2 linked regions of the Styela clava genome follow. The protein of the gene in region 1 interacts with the protein of each later gene in a biochemical or structural test. Links are inferred from orthologs where the notes say so. Each region holds a gene or a part of one and is shown in the gene's direction. Other genes may lie near its edges. The genes, in order: general transcription factor IIE subunit 1-like and general transcription and DNA repair factor IIH helicase/translocase subunit XPB-like.

The links.
Region 2: the proteins of general transcription factor IIE subunit 1-like (region 1) and general transcription and DNA repair factor IIH helicase/translocase subunit XPB-like form a complex in vitro, tested with the Homo sapiens proteins (2 studies listed by BioGRID). The link is inferred for Styela clava from reciprocal best matches to the Homo sapiens genes GTF2E1 and ERCC3.

What each region holds. Positions count from the first base shown.
Region 1 is NC_135250.1:24,566,490-24,576,325, reverse strand, and holds the start of general transcription factor IIE subunit 1-like, read left to right. Parts: upstream 1-5,236; 5' UTR 5,237-5,317; coding exon 5,318-5,388; intron 5,389-5,661; coding exon 5,662-5,752; intron 5,753-6,304; coding exon 6,305-6,400; intron 6,401-6,982; coding exon 6,983-7,057; intron 7,058-9,836.
Region 2 is NC_135263.1:11,706,120-11,716,757, forward strand, and holds general transcription and DNA repair factor IIH helicase/translocase subunit XPB-like, read left to right. Parts: upstream 1-6,511; 5' UTR 6,512-6,637; coding exon 6,638-9,010; 3' UTR 9,011-10,156; downstream 10,157-10,638. Other genes in the region: organic cation transporter protein-like, read right to left, coding at 86-244, 342-420, 926-1,068; adenylate cyclase type 9-like, read left to right, coding at 10,244-10,394. UniProt on the Homo sapiens protein: ATP-dependent 3'-5' DNA helicase/translocase. Binds dsDNA rather than ssDNA, unzipping it in a translocase rather than classical helicase activity. Component of the general transcription and DNA repair factor IIH (TFIIH) core complex.

The sequences.
Region 1 (9,836 bases):
CTATTTGTTCACCACTGTTATAAATTATAATGCATCACATACACTGGAATCATGCAGGTCCAGAACTCCAAAACAGGGGTCTCAAACTCGCGGGGGCTAATTGCGGCTCCACACATACAAATCTATGCCTTCGGAAAGATAAACTAGTTACCTAATCCCACATCCCAACTTAACTAGTCAGCTTGTGAAGGGCGGGTTTACCAAGTGATTTTACTGCAAAATTGGTTTTCCACTCATCCTAAGATAATGAATTCCCATTTTAAATTGTAAATATAAAAGTTTTTTTTTGTATAATATAGAAGCTCCTGTATATTGTTATTGAGCTTAAAAATCACAAACATTAGTCTATTTGCTTTTCTCCTCGAACCATTATTTGGGATGGAACTTCAAAAAATCTTTTTCGAGCACCACACCCATATTTCGAGCTTCAAATAAACCAAACCTTTGTTTGCTTTCTGGTGCTCATTTTAGTATATTTTCGATATTTTTAATGTTATCAGAATTTAGGTTGTAGGCATAGGAACGCAACTAGCAGACTTCATCCCTTGAAATCTTATAAATAAAGACAACAATCTTTATAACTATTTTCAAACAAGTTTTATATTTAGTCTAGTAATCTACACTACAGAGTACAGAATATGTGATTCTACGGATAAAAAAAAACATCTAAGTAACTTTATATCAGTAAAAGATGGGGCAAATTGATTTGTTTATTTGAAGTAATTCATCCAATAATGGTCATCATATTAAACTGTTGTGAGGACAACAGCTCCTATGAATTCCAGGAACATTTACACTAAAGTTTGAGAAATTTGGTAAACGATACCAATTTTCGATTCTTAAATCACAAAAATTTTACACTGATATCAGTCTCCAATCTTGGGAAAACTGTGTGTCTTCAAAAACTTTTGATATTTACAATGCTTCTATTATGATGATAAGTATGATGAGCTTTTTTATTTTTTGTCAGAAATTTTGACTTCATCTCTTACTTTATTAAAGAGTTTAAAATTAAAATACATTTTTGGCTATGACTCCAATATTAAGGAAAACATACCAATCTTCAATTTCACAATCTTGAATCAAATCATATAGATACATATGAATTTCTATTTCAATTAGAAGGCCTAATCTATTAGCCAAAGCATTTACAACAAATCAAAAAAATTAGTTGACTTTGGATAATGTTTCCCAAATATCAACATGATAGCTTTCAATTAATGTCTTACACCGGGGAGGTTTTGTACAGTGGTGTAGAATCGATGATGTCTTCTTCATTCTCTGTTTCATTATCTTGTACATTATGTTGCCTCTCTCGATTTGATGTTGATGGTCCAGCATTTTCTTCCAGATTTATTCTTGTTTCATTTGTTGTACTTTGTCCGAATCTTTCTTTCATACTGTGTGCCATTTTTTTTTTATCTTTTCTTTTATTCCAACTTCAAGAATAGTATGATCAATTATCTGCAGGCCAGGATGATTTCGATCCTTTTGCTGAGGAAGAGTGCATGCAAGTATATGCTCTAGGGCAGTTGTCCCTCGGAGACTGTTGACACATGCAGTAACGAGAATTTCAGGGTTTTCTCCAATATCAAATTTCCTGACACCACATCCTACTTCACGCAGTCCTTCCTCAATTTCATTTTCTTCAGTTACAATGTATGAATTTAGTAATGTTACAAATATATCCCAGAGCTTATTGTCATATGCAAATCTTGCAATTTTTTTTGCTGTTTCATCCCAGTGAGTAAATAAGAGAGTTGAAAATTCCCGTTCGAGCATTGTGCATGCTAATACACATAGGAGAGGTTCCAATGGCTTTAATACTTTTTTTATATCTACTTCATTCTGCATTTGTAGACTCGCTTTTTCATGTACTTCCTCATTGATACTAAACTTACTTAAAAGTTCCTTCAGTGCTTCTTGACTTTTACTTGGCACAGGACCCCCTTCTTCGCTTTTAAGAATTAGAACTTTCAGCGATTCATAATCCTCATTACGGGTCCACATTTTGTTGTAAACTCACTCTACATACTCTGCTGCTCTGATGGTTTTATTGTCTAAACCAATAATAGGAGGAAAGGAGTACTTGTACTTAGAGTCGCAATGAATATATTTCGTTCTTCCATCTTTCATGCTTTTCAGTATAATCTTAGCCGCTTTGAAATATTTTTGATCAGATAAAGCATAGTACAAAATTGATCTGCCATCGTTATCCAATAAATCCAGATTTAGATCTTTCACAAAATTTTCACATTCATCTGTCTCTTCGAATTGATTTATAATGACAACTGTTAAAAAGCCATCTCTGTTTATTTTTGCAATATTCATTAGTTTTTTAGTATGTGGATTAGTAATTTTCAATTTTATATTTTGAAGATATTTCTCTGCAGTGTTTGCTGTTATCTTTCTTTCGCTTAATTTTTGTTCTACTTTTTCCAATATTTTCCAGTCTTCAAGATCGTTCGTGATGGAAAACAATTCAATATTTTTCTTTTTGTCAAGTGTTATGGCATCTGTATAGTGTCTAGCCGATTCTTTCAATGATTCGTCAGAAAACCAGAGTTTAACGATCTCACAAAATTTTCCAGAGCGTCCAAGATTCCCAGAAGCGAATCATAAATGTTATAAAGGGGAATGCTTTCTTTGCATAAGTTCTTAAAATTTGTATATTTTTAAAGTAATTCTCGGGGCTGTCATGTTCAGCATTCCCAGCTGTAGTTTCTTCTATTGTGAGGGGTTCTAGAAAATAGCTGTTTTGGTCAAATCTAGGGACTGCCTTATGTAAATATCTCATTTTGCACATTCCCACTATAACAAACACGAGTTGTAGCATGGTAGATGCTTAAAACCCCACCCAATAAGGAATAAGTTGTTTTGCAGTATTGTGTGAGCAAAAATAAGGTACCGGACTCCCTTCACCAGTCATTTCCAAATAGTCTAATTGAAACGGATTGCAGTGAAATGTGTTGCCATCTTTAGCCAAGAAACATACTAGTAATCCTGATATACCTATTGATAAGACGATAGCGGCAAGAAGAATCCTATTTCTTTTGTAATAAACATGTTTGATAAAAATATCGCATTCATATAAGAGTAATAAGGGCCAAGCCTCTCTCACGATGCAGTCAGACATTCTGGATAAAGGTTCTTCAACAGAGGATTGCAGTTTGTCATTTTCATCGGATAATCCTTCAATTAGCTGTTCTGCTTTTTTGAAAGTGTTGAATGAATTTATAACTCCAGGTATCTGAAGCCAATAGGCAGAAGCAATCAAAACCAGCAAGATGGAAGACAGGCCGAGAAAACCAGAATAAGTCACAAACCATGGTATCTGGTTCATACAATAGTTGTTCATTATAGCAGCATCAAGAGAGGTGCCATTTTGTACCGTCGGAACACATTTTATTTTTATAGTTTGTGTCAAATAAAACATAAAAAGGGTGGTTGCCACACTGCCTGCATAAAAATATCCTCTGATTTTTTCCCACCATGGTTTCATGTTATGTTCAGTAAGCAGATCACCCAAAAGAAAGTCACTGATTCCAAGAATTGACATTTTCAAGATTCAGTAATTCTGCGTATAAATATATTAAAAAAAATTATATGCTGAATCATTTACGTTGACACAAAAGCTTATGACATTTGCCTGAGGTTTATAAAATTTTTCTTATAGGAACGGTCAAAACTATATGGAAGATATTATAAAAAATTGAATATATTATGATTTGAATCTACTCTAACTCTGATGTACATGTTAAGGAAATTAATTTCCATCACTTGGTATTTTGCCACTAAAATTTATTACTGAATCAATCCCGTATTTTTCAGGTAATTATTTAAATACAGTCGAAAAACATTGTAGGAGTTTAGATATTTTCATCTCATTCTCTTAATCCTTGTCATGGGTTTGGATCACAGTTAACTATATTTGTATAACTCTTATATTCATTGCTTTACATCATATTTTTCATCAGTCATACTCAAAATCTCTAAATTTCACCTAAATTTTTTTACAACCCTAATCCTGCTTTTTGAAATAATATCTTTTGTGCTATATTGTTTTTGTGACAAATCGGTAATTATCCTTTCCTCTATGTACAATTAAACATTTGGAATCATGGTATATTCTGCAAGTATAATTTATCTCCATTGCTTTACATACCGGTAGTATTTTTCATCAGTAGTACTCAAAATCTAGTAATTTCAACTAAAATATTTTGCAATCCTAGGACTGCTTTCTAAAATACTTTCATGCATGCTATACTTCAAATCAATTTTAGATTGAGAGTTCTATATTAGGTGCATAGAATATATGTGAGAAAACCTCCTCGATATCAGTCAAGCAATAAAAACGTTTTTGTTGATTGTTATGGACTTCTGATTTCTAAAGAGAACTCTGTTATCAAAATCCTGTGGCTCGGTACACACCTTATATCGCACCCACTTTTTGCATCCATGGTTGAATCGAATATGTGGAAAAAATAACTCAATATCAATCAAGCGAAGTAAAAATTTCTGTTGAATGTCATTGTTTTTTGATTTCTGAAGAGTACTCTATTATCATAATTCTCAACTCGGGTCACATAAAAATGACCTAAAACCTGCGTCGCACCCACTTTTTGCATCGTTGATTTAAGCGCTAAATTCCATTTCAAAATTCCTTCTTGTTTTTATATAAAAATGGTTACATTTCTAAAACACAGGTTATAATATTTACTGAAAACGATCACCACTATTATAATGTACAAATTTTTTGATATTGAATCAATTTTGATACCACTCACACTTTGTACATTTAATTGTGAACGCCCAATGTTATTTGTATCTTTTTGTTGTTTTCAAGAAGAGTAGCAAATATAAATTGGGACTGTTTTCTAATAATAACATTTTATCTTATTTTTAAACAAGGATGTGGACAATTGTTCACGATAGCTGGGAGTTGAAAAATTTTCTTCATTGTTCTGGCATAGTCCACCGGTTATGGTTTTACTTGGGTTGTGTTTTGAGATTATTTGTGTGTTTGCATTAAACAAGGCTTCAAATGAAGAGCCACTTTTTCACATGTTATCATTTTTTCCATCACAGTGCTCTGGTGGTAATTCTGACTGGTAACTGGTAATATTTAATGTGCAATGTTGTATGTTTTCTCTCCTTCAGAATGAATGTGAATTTCCATCTTATTTGATGTCACACAACCAGCAAAATTTTAATATTTTTACTTTTTGCTTTTCAGGGGGTGCTCACACTATGTAATATAGGATAATATTTATATTCCAAATTAGAATTCTTTTCTTGAAGTCTGATTTTAAGTAAAATGTCCAACACATTAGAAAATGAATCTGAAGTTTTACGAGAAGTACCCGATGCTTTGCAGAGACTTATCAGGTTAATATTACTTAACTTTTTCAATTATCAGTTGCGTTACACAAGAATATCTACTTTTTCTTACGCTATACCTTTGCGTAAGTGGATTCATAATGCAAAGCTGCTCTGGAGTCTTGCTGTACACTAACACGAATGTAAAAATGTTACATTTGTGTTAGTCTACATCTAGACTCATGGAATTCAAACTATTTTCAAGTGTGGAAAAGTGGGACACATTATTTATTTCTCAGAGCTATACCTTCAGCTTCATGATCTTATATATTTTGTCTTCAGATATGTTGCAAGAGGATTCTATGGACTTGAACACGGCCTAGTTATCGACGTACTTGTTCGAAACGCATGTGTGAAGGAAGATGACATCCAAGTTGGTCATGTTTTTTACGAGTTACATACTTTTGTTTTTAATTAATCCTATATAGAAAGAATATAGATGTAAGGACTAGAGACTTTCTAATTTCATGAGGTCCAGTTTTTTTTTTACTCTTACGGAAGAGGGGGGGAGTGGGTTCAAACTTGCCACTTTCGACCCGTCAGTGTATTTGTGAAGGTATTCTGAACAATAATGATGATTCATCGAAAGTTGAGCCATCAGCATTCATCAATAGAAAAAAAGATTGTTTTTATGGCAACTCAATTTGGCACTCTCATATATAGGCTAATCCTTTTGTCCTTATTGATAAATTTTTCGGATTTTCATTAGTTGCACACTTGATTGGTCAAAATATACTAAGTAGTGCATAAATCGTTATATATTCCATTAATGTGATATTTGTGTCGGTGAACAAAGTTTTTTTGGGCTTTTTACTGACAACTCTGAATTTTACAATTAGAAATTTTTTTTTTAGATTTTAGATTAAGCTATCGGGGTCATCAAAATTTGTATACTGTGTTTGAAAAGTGATTATTTTTCTTTCAGGAACTTTTGAAAATGGACAAGAAACAACTACGAGCAATGTTGGTTTTTCTGAAGAATGATAAAATTTTGAAAGCAAGACTTTGCGTTGAAACTCAAGTAAAGATGATAAATAGCAATCTTGTTATTATAGGTTAAAGTGTGATATAGTGAGATTATATACCTTTCCATAGTAGGTAACTTAAAAATCATTTGCTTAGAATATATCGCGTAGAGCAGTGCTTAACAACGTGCGCAATATTGCTTCTTATGGGGGAAAAACCTGAAGGGGTGATATCGCATACTTAAAATAGTCCGAATTAACACAAAATCAAAATGAAATTCACAAACCATAGGCAGGATATATTTTTGGCAGTCATTTGACAACCCGCCTACCCAATTTAATACACCCAATGTGAGGTGTTGGGTACGGGATTACACTGAGATCTTGAACCTGTGATGCAGGCATAGTTCATTCATTCCAATGCTTCAGCCTTGGTCAGGGGTCAATGAACGAATGCAAAAAATGGTTGCATTCCACTAAAAAGGATTAAATAATTACACTTATTTTATTATAATTTATGCAGCCGCATCCGGGGATGTTTGAGAACCCAACACTAGGCCATTGTGCAATACAAATCGAGTTAATCATCTAACTGTTGTGTAAACATAAAATTATTTTTGTAAATCTTTGTTTTACAGCCAGATGGGAATGTACTTCGTCACAATTATTATTATATAAATTATAGAAGCATTTGCAACATTATTAAATATAAGGTAAATATTCTCAATTTCATTTATTTTAGATTACTTTATGTGTTATTATACATGTTATTTCAGACTAGCAAAAGTATCATTATGTAATTTTTAGCAAGTGAATTGTTTCTTTCTGGTCTTTTCGTTGAAAATTTTTTTTAATATAATGTTAAATATGTGTTGGTACTAAGACTGAAGTACTAAGACTAAGGGATTTGACGAAAAGGGAGGCGATATTTACTTTTTTGAAAAAACGGGGAGCTAATATAGTGTTTCTGCAAGAGACTCACTGTTCTGGTAAAATTGAAAATGAATCATGGTCAAAAGAGTGGGGTAGTCAATGTTTATGGACTGAATATTCCAATACCTGCAATGGGGTAGGGATCTTGATCTTGATTTCTTCAAATTTAGATATATCTTTAGGCAATATAGATATAGATGAAAATGGCCAATATATTATATGTTCATTTGAATACGATAGTTTTTTAACAATAGTAGTGAACGTTTATGCTCCAAACCTTGATTCTCAAAGGGTCAAGTTGTTCAAACTTATATATGAAAAACTAGAAACCCTGAAAGCTTCAAATTATGCATACACATGCAATTTTATATGTGGTGGTGATTTTAATTGTATTTTGGAAGATAGGGATAGGGATTCCGTCAAATGTAGAAGAAATAATAATTCCAAAAGTGAAAAAATGCTCCAAAATATTGTTACTAAATTGGATTTGATTGATATTTGGCGTGAAAGGCACTCATCCCTTTTACAATTTTCATTTCATCGCCCAGCAACCAGAAACGGGCAAAAACAATCCAAAAGCAGAATAGACAGATGGTATCTTTCGCGATTATATACTGTCAATGTAGAAAAAGTTGAAATAATTGCAGCAGCATTATCGGATCACTTACCTGTCTTTATGTGGACAGATATAGGCGAGAATATCAAACGTGGGAAAGGTTATTGGAAATTTAATAGCAACTTATTAAATTATGATTTATTTGTCACAGGGGTAGAAGTTATATTAAAGAAATGGCTAAAGCAATTAAATGAAGGACATGAAATTGATGTTCTTAAATTTTGGGAAAATTGTAAAAGAAAAATTAAGGAGTGGTCTATATATAGCGGAGAAAAGTTAGCTAAGGAAAATAGGAATATAGAAAAACAATTAATAAAAACTTATGAAGAAGCATTGTTCAAATATGAGGAAGATCAATACGATATAGAAAAAAGTCACAAGTTAATGCAGGCAAAACAAAATTTGAAAGATTTTCAAACGAATCAAGTAAAAGGAAACGCTATAAGGGCACGCATACAGTGGGCAGAATCGGGAGAAATCTCATCAAAGTATTTCTTCAATTTGGAGAAGTATCGAGGGAAATTGAAATTGATACAAGAAATTAAAAACGAAAGTGGAGAGATTGTTAGAGGTTTGAGAAACATACAAAAAGTACAACAATCTTTTTACCAAAAATTATACTCAAAAACACCAAATCTAGATGAAAATTCCCAAGATGATTTGATTTTGAAATTAAATAAAGAAGTTGATAGATTAGATAAGGAGGACATAGAACAACCAATTAAATTTGAAGAATTAGAAAACGCATTCAAAGGTATGAAATTAAACAAAGCGCCGGGCTCAGATGGTATTACAAAAAATTTTTATGCGAAATTCTGGAAAATATTTGGAAGTATATTGAAAATTGTTTTTGACAAAATAGTAATATCAGGACATATGTCAGAGTCAATGAAAACAGCTATTATCACCCTATTGTATAAAAAAGGAAATAAAAATGACCTGAATAATTGGCGACCTATATCGCTGTTAAACTTTGATTATAAGCTTTTGGCAAAAATTTTAGCTAACAGAATTAGAAACTTACTTCCAAAAATAATTCACTGTGACCAGACTGGTTTTATTCAGGGTCGTTCTATACATGAAAACATCTCATGTATTAGAGACGACATATTTTATGCTAACAGATTTGGAAAAGAATTAGTAGTGTTTTCAATAGACTGGGCCAAAGCCTATGATACTGTTGATAGAGAATTCCTTTTTAAAGTTATGAAGAAGTTTAATTTAGGTCCAAATTTTATCAATTATATAAGAATTTTATATACTAATACAAAAGCAAAAATATTAACAAATGGATATGTAGGAGAGAGTTTTGAAATGACACGTGGATTAAAACAAGGCTGTCCTCTGTCCCCATTTTTATACACTATGGTTGCGGAGGTTTTTGCAACTAATATTAGAGTAAATAGCAACATAATAGGTTTTAAGAACATTTCAGGGAATGAAGAAAAATACAAAGGGTTTGCGGATGATGCAACATTAACAGTTAGAGATTTAAAATCAGTTGGAGAGGCATTGAAAATAGTCGAAAAATTTGAAATAGCTGTAGGTACCAGGATAAATAAGGAAAAATCTCAAATATTGTTATGTGGAGATTGTCTTAAGATAAATGAAACACAGTTTCAAGGTATAGCATTAAAAAGGGATAGTTTATGTGTCCTTGGTGTCTGGATCGGCAACAATGACACGACGCAACAAAACTGGAATCCAATTATAGAAAAAATCAAAAGAGTAGTGAATATATGGAAAGCTCGAACTATGAGCATGCAAGGGAGAATACTGATTACTAAAAGTCTATTATTATCTAAATTGTGGTATCTTGCAGCTGTAATAACAATTCCAAATGATATCATTAAAACAATTGAGACCCTAGTATGGGATTTTGTATGGAACAACAAACAACCCACGGTAGAGAGGAGAGTCTGCTGTGCAAGGAAAGTTGAAGG
Region 2 (10,638 bases), on another chromosome or scaffold:
TATATTTGCCAAATCAGGCTTTTTGTACTGCTCGCATGTCGATAGTTAAGTATACAAGCCACAATTACATCGTTAAATAAGTCACCTCAGTAGCGACCGTTTCTTCGAAGTAACTGTCGTCATAATGAAATCCGTTATCGCATCTCACTATTCCATTTGCTGATGCGTTAGTTAAACAGGACAAGTTTCCTGATATCAAACAATCCGTAGAGTTGTAGATGTATCGATGACAAGAATCTCCTGGCTGAAACAAAAGGTTTTCAATTTATTTAAAGATGAGTTGATATTGAAGTCTGATCCAACGTAGGAATAAGCGTTTGACTTTTCAATAACATACTCACAGGAATAGCCAGCGATGTGAAGTTCTCTTCACTCTTGTTCACGCAAGTAGTATTGTCTTCAAAATATGGCAACCTACATCTGTGTTGAAAAGCACAATCAATTAAACCCGAGTGTAACGACAGATATCAACTTACGCGGAAACGGAACCGCCACGAGGTGCGCAATTTTTCATATTGATAACGCCTTCGCATACGAAAAACGAATCCCATAGAGTCTAGAGTCGCATAGACTCATAGAGGACACAGATATTTTTGAATTACATAAAATAGCAAAAAATACAATCTTTAACCGCAAAACATTTAAAAGCAATTGGTCAGGTAGTTGAAGAGAAAAGCGATTTTTTTCATAGCAATAAGGAAAATACAAACAACAATAACAACAACATTTTAACAACACGACCCATAGGTCCACTTCTTGTCCAGAATATGTCAAAATAAAAGCAGAAGTGAAGCCTGACTAGTTTCCTACTATTCCATCGCCACACATCGATATATAAGCACTGTACTTAGATATCAGTACCACAGAGATAAAGACGATTGTAGTAGGTAGGTGCAATAAATACATCTGTATGTAGTCAAATTACCTGTGATCCGGCACGGCATTATAATACACTGATGTGAATGGTGTCCATGAACCAGCGAATATCGCAAAAATACACGAAACAAGTATGAATATTTTGTAGAAACTGAAAGTACCAAGCTGCTCTTCAAATTCGTCCAAATCCATTTGCTTATTGTCCTAACTTATTCCACAAATTCTTTATATCTTTCAACAGCGCACATTTTCATTTAACAATCAACGACTAAACAGCTGGAATAATCGGAATCGTGTGCATCCTCATATTCTACTATTTGTATGTTTTGTTTTGATCAGAGATAAATTACGCGCAGCTCAGAAATAGGCAACCAAATATATCAACTACGCAATATTGTTAGCAAAACGATTTATCACGGATTGAGCTCTGTATATTCTTAAAAATAGAATGATTGTTCGAGGCGACTGACTAGAAGCGCAGGCTGAAAAAACCATTGATGACAAATCAGAATATAAAGAATCAAAATTTCTGGAGAACAAAACTGGATTGACGAAGCATTCAATACCAAGATTTATTTCTGACTCAATTCACTAACTGAGCAACACGCTGTGCTGTAAAAAGTTATATTACACGATGTCTACGAAACCATCCTGTTACCGAGCGGAGTTCCATATAATTTCTCAACTACGATGAAATTTTCACGAGAATGACGAAGCATATTTTATATATTGAATAATGTTTACTAGATTCGTACGTGGTTTTAAAACATCCAGAACGGTTTTGTTCATATTCATAGTAAAACGATAACTGCATAGTAAAATTGACTTTACACGCACTGTAAAAATTTTAACGTTCTTTGCACGAACGCAGTTGCCTTTACTTTACAGCATTTAAATGCGATAATCTTTGATGTGGAAGTTTCCCGATTTGAAACTACGAATTCAAGAGTGTGTAGCACTGATATTGGGTCTTTGTGGTGCATTTTTATTTTGTAAAAAATTGTGAAATATAGAATAATAAAATGAACATTTCCATATCGTATAACCATCTGTAGTTGGCCTGAGTTTAGTCATGCAATGTCTATTTGAACCATTCATCAGGTAAAAATGCTCATTGGATTTCTTATTATTAAAGTTGATAATCATTGAGTATTAGTGCAATTTATACAACGTAACTTGAATAACTCTTCATAAAGCCCATGTAATTTTTCCCTTGTGTGTATAGCATTAAACACATATGACTCGTGGCTCGCCTTTCAACGGTTATATGTAATTGCAGCCACTGTGGGGAGGTGAACGGAGGGATAAAACCTAAGATCTTTAATACGTGACTTGAACATAGTGAAGTCCATGGTTCTGATTATTTGTTCGTCAATCGTCATATATATGCTTGTTCATATTTTCATAACAGTACTATACAATTTAAATGATTCTAATTTTATGACATATATATTCGGGATCTCAATTAGGACGAAGTGCCAATTCATTCCTGCAGTTATTTGATTGGGCTTTATTAGTTTATTTGAAGTTAAGTTGTGATCGTTTTTCAATAGATTAAGTCGTCACATTGATTCTCCTTTTCCTGGGACCAGTGTGAGAATATATACTAACTTCAACGGTGTATCTTAAAAGTGCTCGCCGCCATAGGGTGGTTCACGTACCTTGGTCGGTTACGGCTTCCTCTATCATCAAATCCACACATCTGAAATGAATAACTGGCTGACTAGTCCCATGGCCGACATGGGCCAGCAACCAGACAAGAAGCCGTAGTTTGCCATATATCGCTGACAAATGTCAACAGTAATATTAGGCCGAAAAGTACACTCTCAGCTTGAAGGCTTCTCAACTGTATCTCAAGTCAAATATTATCTATGTAATGTTCGTGGGGCTAGTAAACTTACCGACGCCTTTCTCCTCTCTACCAAAATATTATATCCGTGTGAATGCTGTAAACAGAAATGGATGGTTGATACTATTTTGTATATGTGTATGAATTCGTGATAGAAAGATATTTTGCAGTTGGAAACCACATATTGTCAGTTATCCAATAATTTTTTTGCAAAATCTTAAAATATTTTACAGATTAAGGCTCATTTTGAAATCTAAAACCCTTAAATAAGTATATTTTAGTTTATTTCACTCGCGTCTACAATATGGTCTACTTGGTTTCGGGCATTATATATACGTTTTGGGTTGGGGTTCAGCAACAAGGTCTTCCTTTCAGTCAATTTAAGTTCTGCGGAATAAAGTTTTAAGGTGCATGACATTTGCAGAGAAAAGTTTTAACTAATTTGCAGCTTTGTCACCAGTATGATCTCCTACGACCTACAGCTTTCAGATATGCTCGCACTATAAATTGCAAAGTTTATGCATCGGTATGAAAATGGCCTTATTCTCCCAGTCTTTATACATTATTTCACCCCATTACAAAAAGTGCATAATTACTGCACCAGATTTTAAATAAACAGGAATAATATTACTCCACAAGTGTCCACTGAGGTGGACAAAACATCTTTGAAGTATGAAACCAAAAAAAGTTCAGTGCATGTTTTCAATGAGGAACTGAAAAAGTCTTTCTTACTTAAATGCTCAAATTTGTCTTAATATCTTGATTAATAATTATCTCAATTAAAAATCCTAAGTTTAATATCTTTTAAACTTTGTTTAAAGTAAATGAGCCAAACACTGTATATAATATCATAAATTTGACTGTTTCACATTTAGACTGTGTATTGAAGATCATTGGCCTCTTTCAATTGCATTTTTTGTAAAATCATACTAAAATGTTTTCTCTTTTTTGACACAAACTACTACTATGTACTTTATTATAGTTCACCTTAAAAAACCATTGTTAATGATACTTGTACTTCCTATCTTTTATTTATTGTTTAATCTGTGATAATCCGACTTCTTCATTTTTCTCTGTGTATTTGAGCCCGTCTCGGCCCAACAAATATTTAATTACAAAAACTAATCTAAGCTTTTGATAATTTTTTCAATTTTATGGACCTGTTCGAATCTAAAACTAGGGTTGGGACCCCGGAAAATCCCGATATCCCGGGATCTGGAGTGTTTTTTTTTCAATCCCAATCCCGCAATTATTCTCTAAAAATTCCGGGGTTATAAGGCGTTATTATCCACATGTAGATATTCTCACAAATGGTAGGTTATACCATTTTATTTAATTCTTCTTTAAAAATAAAAGCCATCCACGTTTACAGTTTGAGTCAGTCAGACTAAGTGGAATTATTGTGCGAAATTTTCTCAAGTTTTACAAATGAATTATTATTTGACTAGTAGAATTGCAATTATCGCCGATTTATTTAATCATAATTTGAACTCAAAATAGCATTCAGGATTCACGCAATGACTTTGCAGGGTTTTTATTCACTATTTAATAGAAAAATAAAACAGCCACAATAGAAAAATAAAATCAAGAAGGTCAACTATCGCCTTCATGAATATCCGCATTTCGGCGTCAGAAATGATAATATTTTTAGCTTAAAATTGGGACAGTTAATTTACAAACGGTGACAAGAAAGATAAAAGCCGACCCAAAAGATAAAAATCGGAATTAAATCCCGAATTCGACAGTTCGTTAAAAGTATCCGACACGATGAAAAGATACTATTTTGCCCACCATTGAGATCTCTAATCACCCAGTAATCTGGCGAAACGCGTAGACCAAATACTGATGCAATGAAACTTAATAAAACTATTTTGCACTACTTCACGAAAGCGTGGTGGAATTGCCGATTATTTCATATCTCGAACACAAAATCTTTTTCGGATAGTTTCTGCGGTCTGAAAAGTCGAATAAGCGTTTCGACATAGTAAATGCTACGATCTTTATCATCAAATTATGCTCGGGCATTGCACGAAATTCATAACGTGAAAAGATACGTTCAGCGGTGAAAATTATAACAACTTTAAATTAAACCTATTTAGTGGTTTTAGCGATAATAATTAATTGTTGTAATGAAATACAGTTTGTTTGCCCATTTCATTCCTCTCGTAAGTGCCGACAATAATGCTATTGAAAGATTTTGGCAATGGGAGAAACATATTGAATTGTAACAAAAAAGAATTAAGTTGTGCAAAAGTGAAAATGCCTGTGATAATAATAATAATAACGGCTAACGGGGGACGCGGGAGGGCGTCAACTTTTACAATAATGTGAGGTGCTTCGAAGGCGCTCTCGTGTACATTAATGTAAGAAAACGGTTGTAATATCGGTAACTATTAACCATGTTTTCGCCTTCGGCTATCGCACTCTTTACAAGTAGAAAATGTTCGTGTTTTGTGATAGATGTGCCGCGAATATTTAAAATGCTAAATAGTGTGCCGCGACATAAAAAAAAGGGTGGGAACTACTGCCCTAGATGCTCTAATATTTCTGCGTCGGCATCACATTAAATAAATACGTGATTTTATTGTCATGCAAGTTGTTTCAATCTTTTACTTAATTTCGAAAAATTCGGGATTATACGGCTCAATCCCGGGATATCCCGATACTGAGATTTCAAAAACTGGCTCCGAAATCCCAACCCTACTTAAAACACGTGATCTATTAATATCATTACTTGCATTATTAACTGTGAAATTGCTGACTCGCACATCTAGGCTACATTTTATTTCTCCATATATTTTTTATTCGTATTTCATTGCTAATGCTATGTCTGGTTGATTTCATGTATATATACAGCAAGGGCCAGGAGCCTCGGTGACCTACCGTAACTGGTCTTGCATACTGCCCTCACAAATAATGATCAACCAATTGCTAAATTACATTTTGTGTTGCTTCAAATGTATTATAGTGTTGACATTGTTTGCGATAATAAATCTCTCTCTCGTTTTATGATCTTTGTAATTTTTTTTGGTATTAGCTGGTGAGCGGGCACATGCTATTTGTCATGTTTTAAACTTTTCTAAAGATTTTTTTTGTCCAGAATTCTCCATTTTTGATTTTGTGAGTATTATGGAGTTTTCAGAATGAATTATCTGACTATCTATAATTACATGGTTCGGCTTCCCCCTCCCCCGTGATAAATATGTAACGTTTCCTCGACCCCTGAAAGATTCTCCCTATACTTTATCATTGCAAAATTTTCAACGCTGATTTTGAGAGTGTTTTGAAGAGTTGGCGCTTACAAACTGGCTCGTATGTGCAAAGCTGTCATTTTTATTCAAAACAATAAACCACGTGCGCTTATAGGTAGTGATAGCTAATTTTATGCTAGTCTATCACAGCGTTTGCGCTATCAAATATTGATTATTGTAACTAAACTTAAGGTCCTCAGAAGACATAATGACAATTAAGTTATTTGATTTACAACTATATTTTGGAAACACAGCTAAAAACTGAAAAATAGCACGCAGAACTACCAAGAATGGGTAATGTTTGGAACCACGCTTGAATGTATATCTGAACGGAAGAATTGTATGGGCGGCGGCATAAATTCCATTTGTTACGTCGTTGGTAACTTATCGCTGATTTGTAATAGTTACGGAGATAAACAAGGAAATTTATGCTTTGGGAAGCATTCATCCAGTTGTTTTGAAATTATACTTCTTCCGCCAGTGGGCAATATAGAAACACAAATCGAAAGAAAAAAAATGAGCAGAATCGAGCATTTTCCAGTTCGCTAGTCTGTTGTTCCGCTGTGCAGTCTATGCTTATGTTTGTTGTGTTAGTCGAGCGTCAGGTTTAACGGGACTGTAGCTATTTTGATATTAAACGGATTTTTCATTCGCCTTAAACATGGGTAAAACGAAAAAAGCTAAGAAGAACAAGGTAGATAAGGTTAAAGAAGATCGTGATCCAGATTACTTCGATGAGGAATACGACGATTTTGACGACGGCGTGGGAAACGAGGATATTGCGGCTGTCCCTAATGCAGCCAAAAAGCACATTGATTCCGAGTCTTCCACCACAGTTGGCATTGAAGACAAATTTGGTGCTAAGGATTATAGAAGCCAAATGAGAATGAAAACTGACCATGCATCTCGACCTATTTATGTTGCCCCTGATGGACATATATTTTTGGAGTCATTTTCTCCAGTTTATAAACATGCTAGAGATTTTCTTATTGCAATTTCAGAGCCGATCAGCAGACCAAAATACATTCATGAGTTCCGTTTAACACCGTATTCTTTGTATGCAGCAGTAAGTGTTGGATTAGAGACTGACGATATCATTGAATACCTCAGCAGATTAAGTAAAACAACAATTCCAACGGGCATTGTTGATTTTATAAAACTTTGCACAGTCAGCTATGGCAAGGTTAAACTTGTGCTCAAACACAATCGGTACTTTGTTGAAAGTACGCATGCTGAAGTTATACAAAAATTACTAAAAGATTCGGTTATTGAAACTTGCCGAAAAAGGGATTCTGGCGATCCAGAAGTTTCTACTTTTGTTGGAAAACAGGGATTACAAGTTAATAAACCAGCGGTGAAAAATGGCGAATCTTCCAATAATAATAATAATGAAGTTTCAGATGCCGCTGAAGAAGGTGGTGTACCGAAAGACATTTATGATTTATATGATAAAATTGATGGAAATGACGATGATGAAACAGAAACATTGCAAGTTGTGTCATTTGAAATTAATCAAGATGATATTGAAACATTGCAAAAAAGATGCATTGAATTAGAATATCCCTTATTAGCGGAATACGATTTTCGAAACGACACTGTGAACCCAGATTTAAAAATGGATTTAAAACCAACAACAGTCCTGAGACCTTATCAAGAAAAAAGTCTCAGAAAAATGTTTGGCAATGGAAGAGCACGTGCGGGTGTAATTGTTCTTCCATGTGGTGCTGGAAAGACTTTAGTTGGTGTCACTGCAGCTTGTACTGTTCGAAAACGTTGCATGGTTCTGTGTACTTCTGGAGTTGCAGTTGAGCAATGGAGATCGCAATTTAAAATGTGGTCTACTGCCGATGATTCTATGATATGCAGATTTACGTCTGATGCAAAAGATAAACCCCATGGATGTGGTATTATTATTAGTACATATTCGATGATGGGACATAGTTTTAAACGATCGTGGGAGGCTGAACGAGTAATGGAATGGATAAGGAGTCAAGAATGGGGTTTGATGGTATTAGATGAAGTCCACACAATTCCTGCGAAACAGTTCCGAAGAGTTTTAACAGTTGTACAAGCACATTGCAAACTCGGACTCACTGCAACATTAGTAAGAGAAGATGACAAAATTTCAGATTTGAATTTCCTCATTGGACCAAAACTATACGAGGCAAATTGGATGGAGCTTCAAAGTGGGGGATATATTGCCAGAGTGCAATGTGCGGAAGTGTGGTGCCCCATGACTCCAGAATTTTATCGAGAATATTTGGGGTTACAATCAAGAAAGCGTATTTTGCTCTATGTTATGAATCCAAACAAGTTCAGAGCTTGTCAATATTTGGTTAAATTTCATGAGCGACGTAACGATAAAATTGTGGTATTTTCTGATAACGTATTTGCTTTAAAAGAATACGCTGTACGAATGGGAAAGCCATATATTTATGGACCAACGTCACAAGGTGAAAGAATACAGATATTACAAAACTTCATACACAATCCAAAAGTGAACACTATTTTTATTTCCAAAGTTGGTGATAACTCGATTGATCTTCCTGCTGCAAATGTATTGATACAAGTTTCATCACATGGTGGTTCTCGTAGGCAAGAAGCACAAAGATTGGGAAGAATCCTCCGAGCTAAAAAAGGCAGCTTGGCTGAAGAATACAATGCTTTTTTCTATTCACTCGTGTCACAAGATACAAAAGAAGTGGCTTATTCGACAAAAAGACAAAGTTTTTTAGTTAATCAAGGCTATGCATTTAAAGTTATCACTAAACTACAAGGCTTAGATGAAGATAAACAACTTGCATTTGGCACGAAAGAAGAACAGCACAATCTTCTTCAAAAAGTTTTAGCGGCCAGCGACCTTGATGCTGAGGAAGAGATGATGCCCGGTGAAGGTATGTCTTCATCACGACAAGGTGGAGTGAAACGTAAAACGACAATGTCATCGCTTTCTGGGGCAGATGATGCGGTGTTTCTGGAATATAAATCGAAAAGGGACAAGAAACATGACCTTTTTAAGAAATTCCGGGGTTGAATCATCTGGTGCGAAAATTAGTAATACCCGGATCCACGGACGAAAAGGGAGGATACAACGGTATAAGACTTTTCGACTGAAATGGATACTCAGCGACCAACTTCAAATTTTGATGATTTCTTCTATCTATACAAAAAAAACTTGGTTTAGCCATTGATAAAAATAATTGCTTTTTCTGCTCAGATTGTGTATTCCAGCTTATTTGCGAGTTTGGTGCTTTTTTACAATGTAATATTTGACAACGCATTTCATGCAACCTTTCCTGCATTTCATGTTACCATTATGTTCCACATATACATATAGTCCTATGGAATATTATCTCAAATATGTTGCAATTTATGTTCCAGTATAATACAGTGCATTCAGATATGTCAATTGTTTCATTTTTTTGTAAAAAACGTTATTTAAAAAAATGCATTATTGGGTACCTATTTACTGATACATAATATGACATTACTCTTACCAAGGCTATTAGTATAGTTATAGTACTGTGTTCTGGTTGACTAGGATTCTAAAATAAAATTCTTATTCGAAAATTAGTGATTGATGTTGGAATACTGCTCAATTCTCAATTTTCAATAATTGCAAATTTTATTATCAAGAAGTCATTAAAATTTTAGAAAATAATCATAGTTTGTTTGAATTTATGGAGTATCAAAAAAATATTGTCACCAATTTCTCATTGTATCTTGGATATTATATATATATCATAATTATGATTAATAATGCTGTAATGCTGATTATCCCAACATTAACCATTATTTAAATCAAACCCAATATTAAATCATTTAAAGAAGTGATTTCCTGTTAAGTTCAAACTTTTTCTAAGCTGTTGCAGTGAAGCACAACCAGAAAGTGAATTTTGATAGTAAATTTTTTATTCTCTTTGCTATGCGAATGTGCTTACATACACTGAATTTAGTTGCTAATCCTATTGTTTGCCAGTTCAGTTCTTATTCAATACCAGTGTTATTTTTCATGTACATTATAAAATCATCATAAAAAAACATATAAGTTCTCATTGAAGATAACTTCCTTATTCAAATAAAGATACAATCAAGGCTAATAATACTTTGATATTTCACACTGTTCCAGTCATTTGAGTGAAAAAAGTCCAAAATTGAAAAAAATATTCCATTTTCACAGGCTGTGATTTTGATTTTAAAATAATTAGAATCTGTATCAAATGGTGCAGTCATTCGTGGCTGCGTATTTGAGGTCGTCTCACTCAAGATGACAACAACGATGGTAGAATTTAATTTGAAATCAAATGAAAATAATGTAAGTCTTGTTTCGAATCAAGAGAAAAAAGAACATTCTGAGACAAACAAATCGGATCTATCTCCTTGCAGAATAACAATGCTGTCACGAAGAAAGAAAAGGGGCAAGTGTTAGTTATAACTTCGTTGTTTAATAAAAAAATCTATATTTTATCAAGATTTAAAATGAATATCTTGATATTATTTGAGAGATGTAAAAATTTCTGGCTTTATTCTGAAATTTGCCATTTTAATCCCAAAATTGTAATACATGTTACCTCATGGATTGAACTGTGACACATTTGTGATTTCGTTAATTCAATATCCAACTGAACTATGTCTACAATACATTTTGCCAACACTACTGGA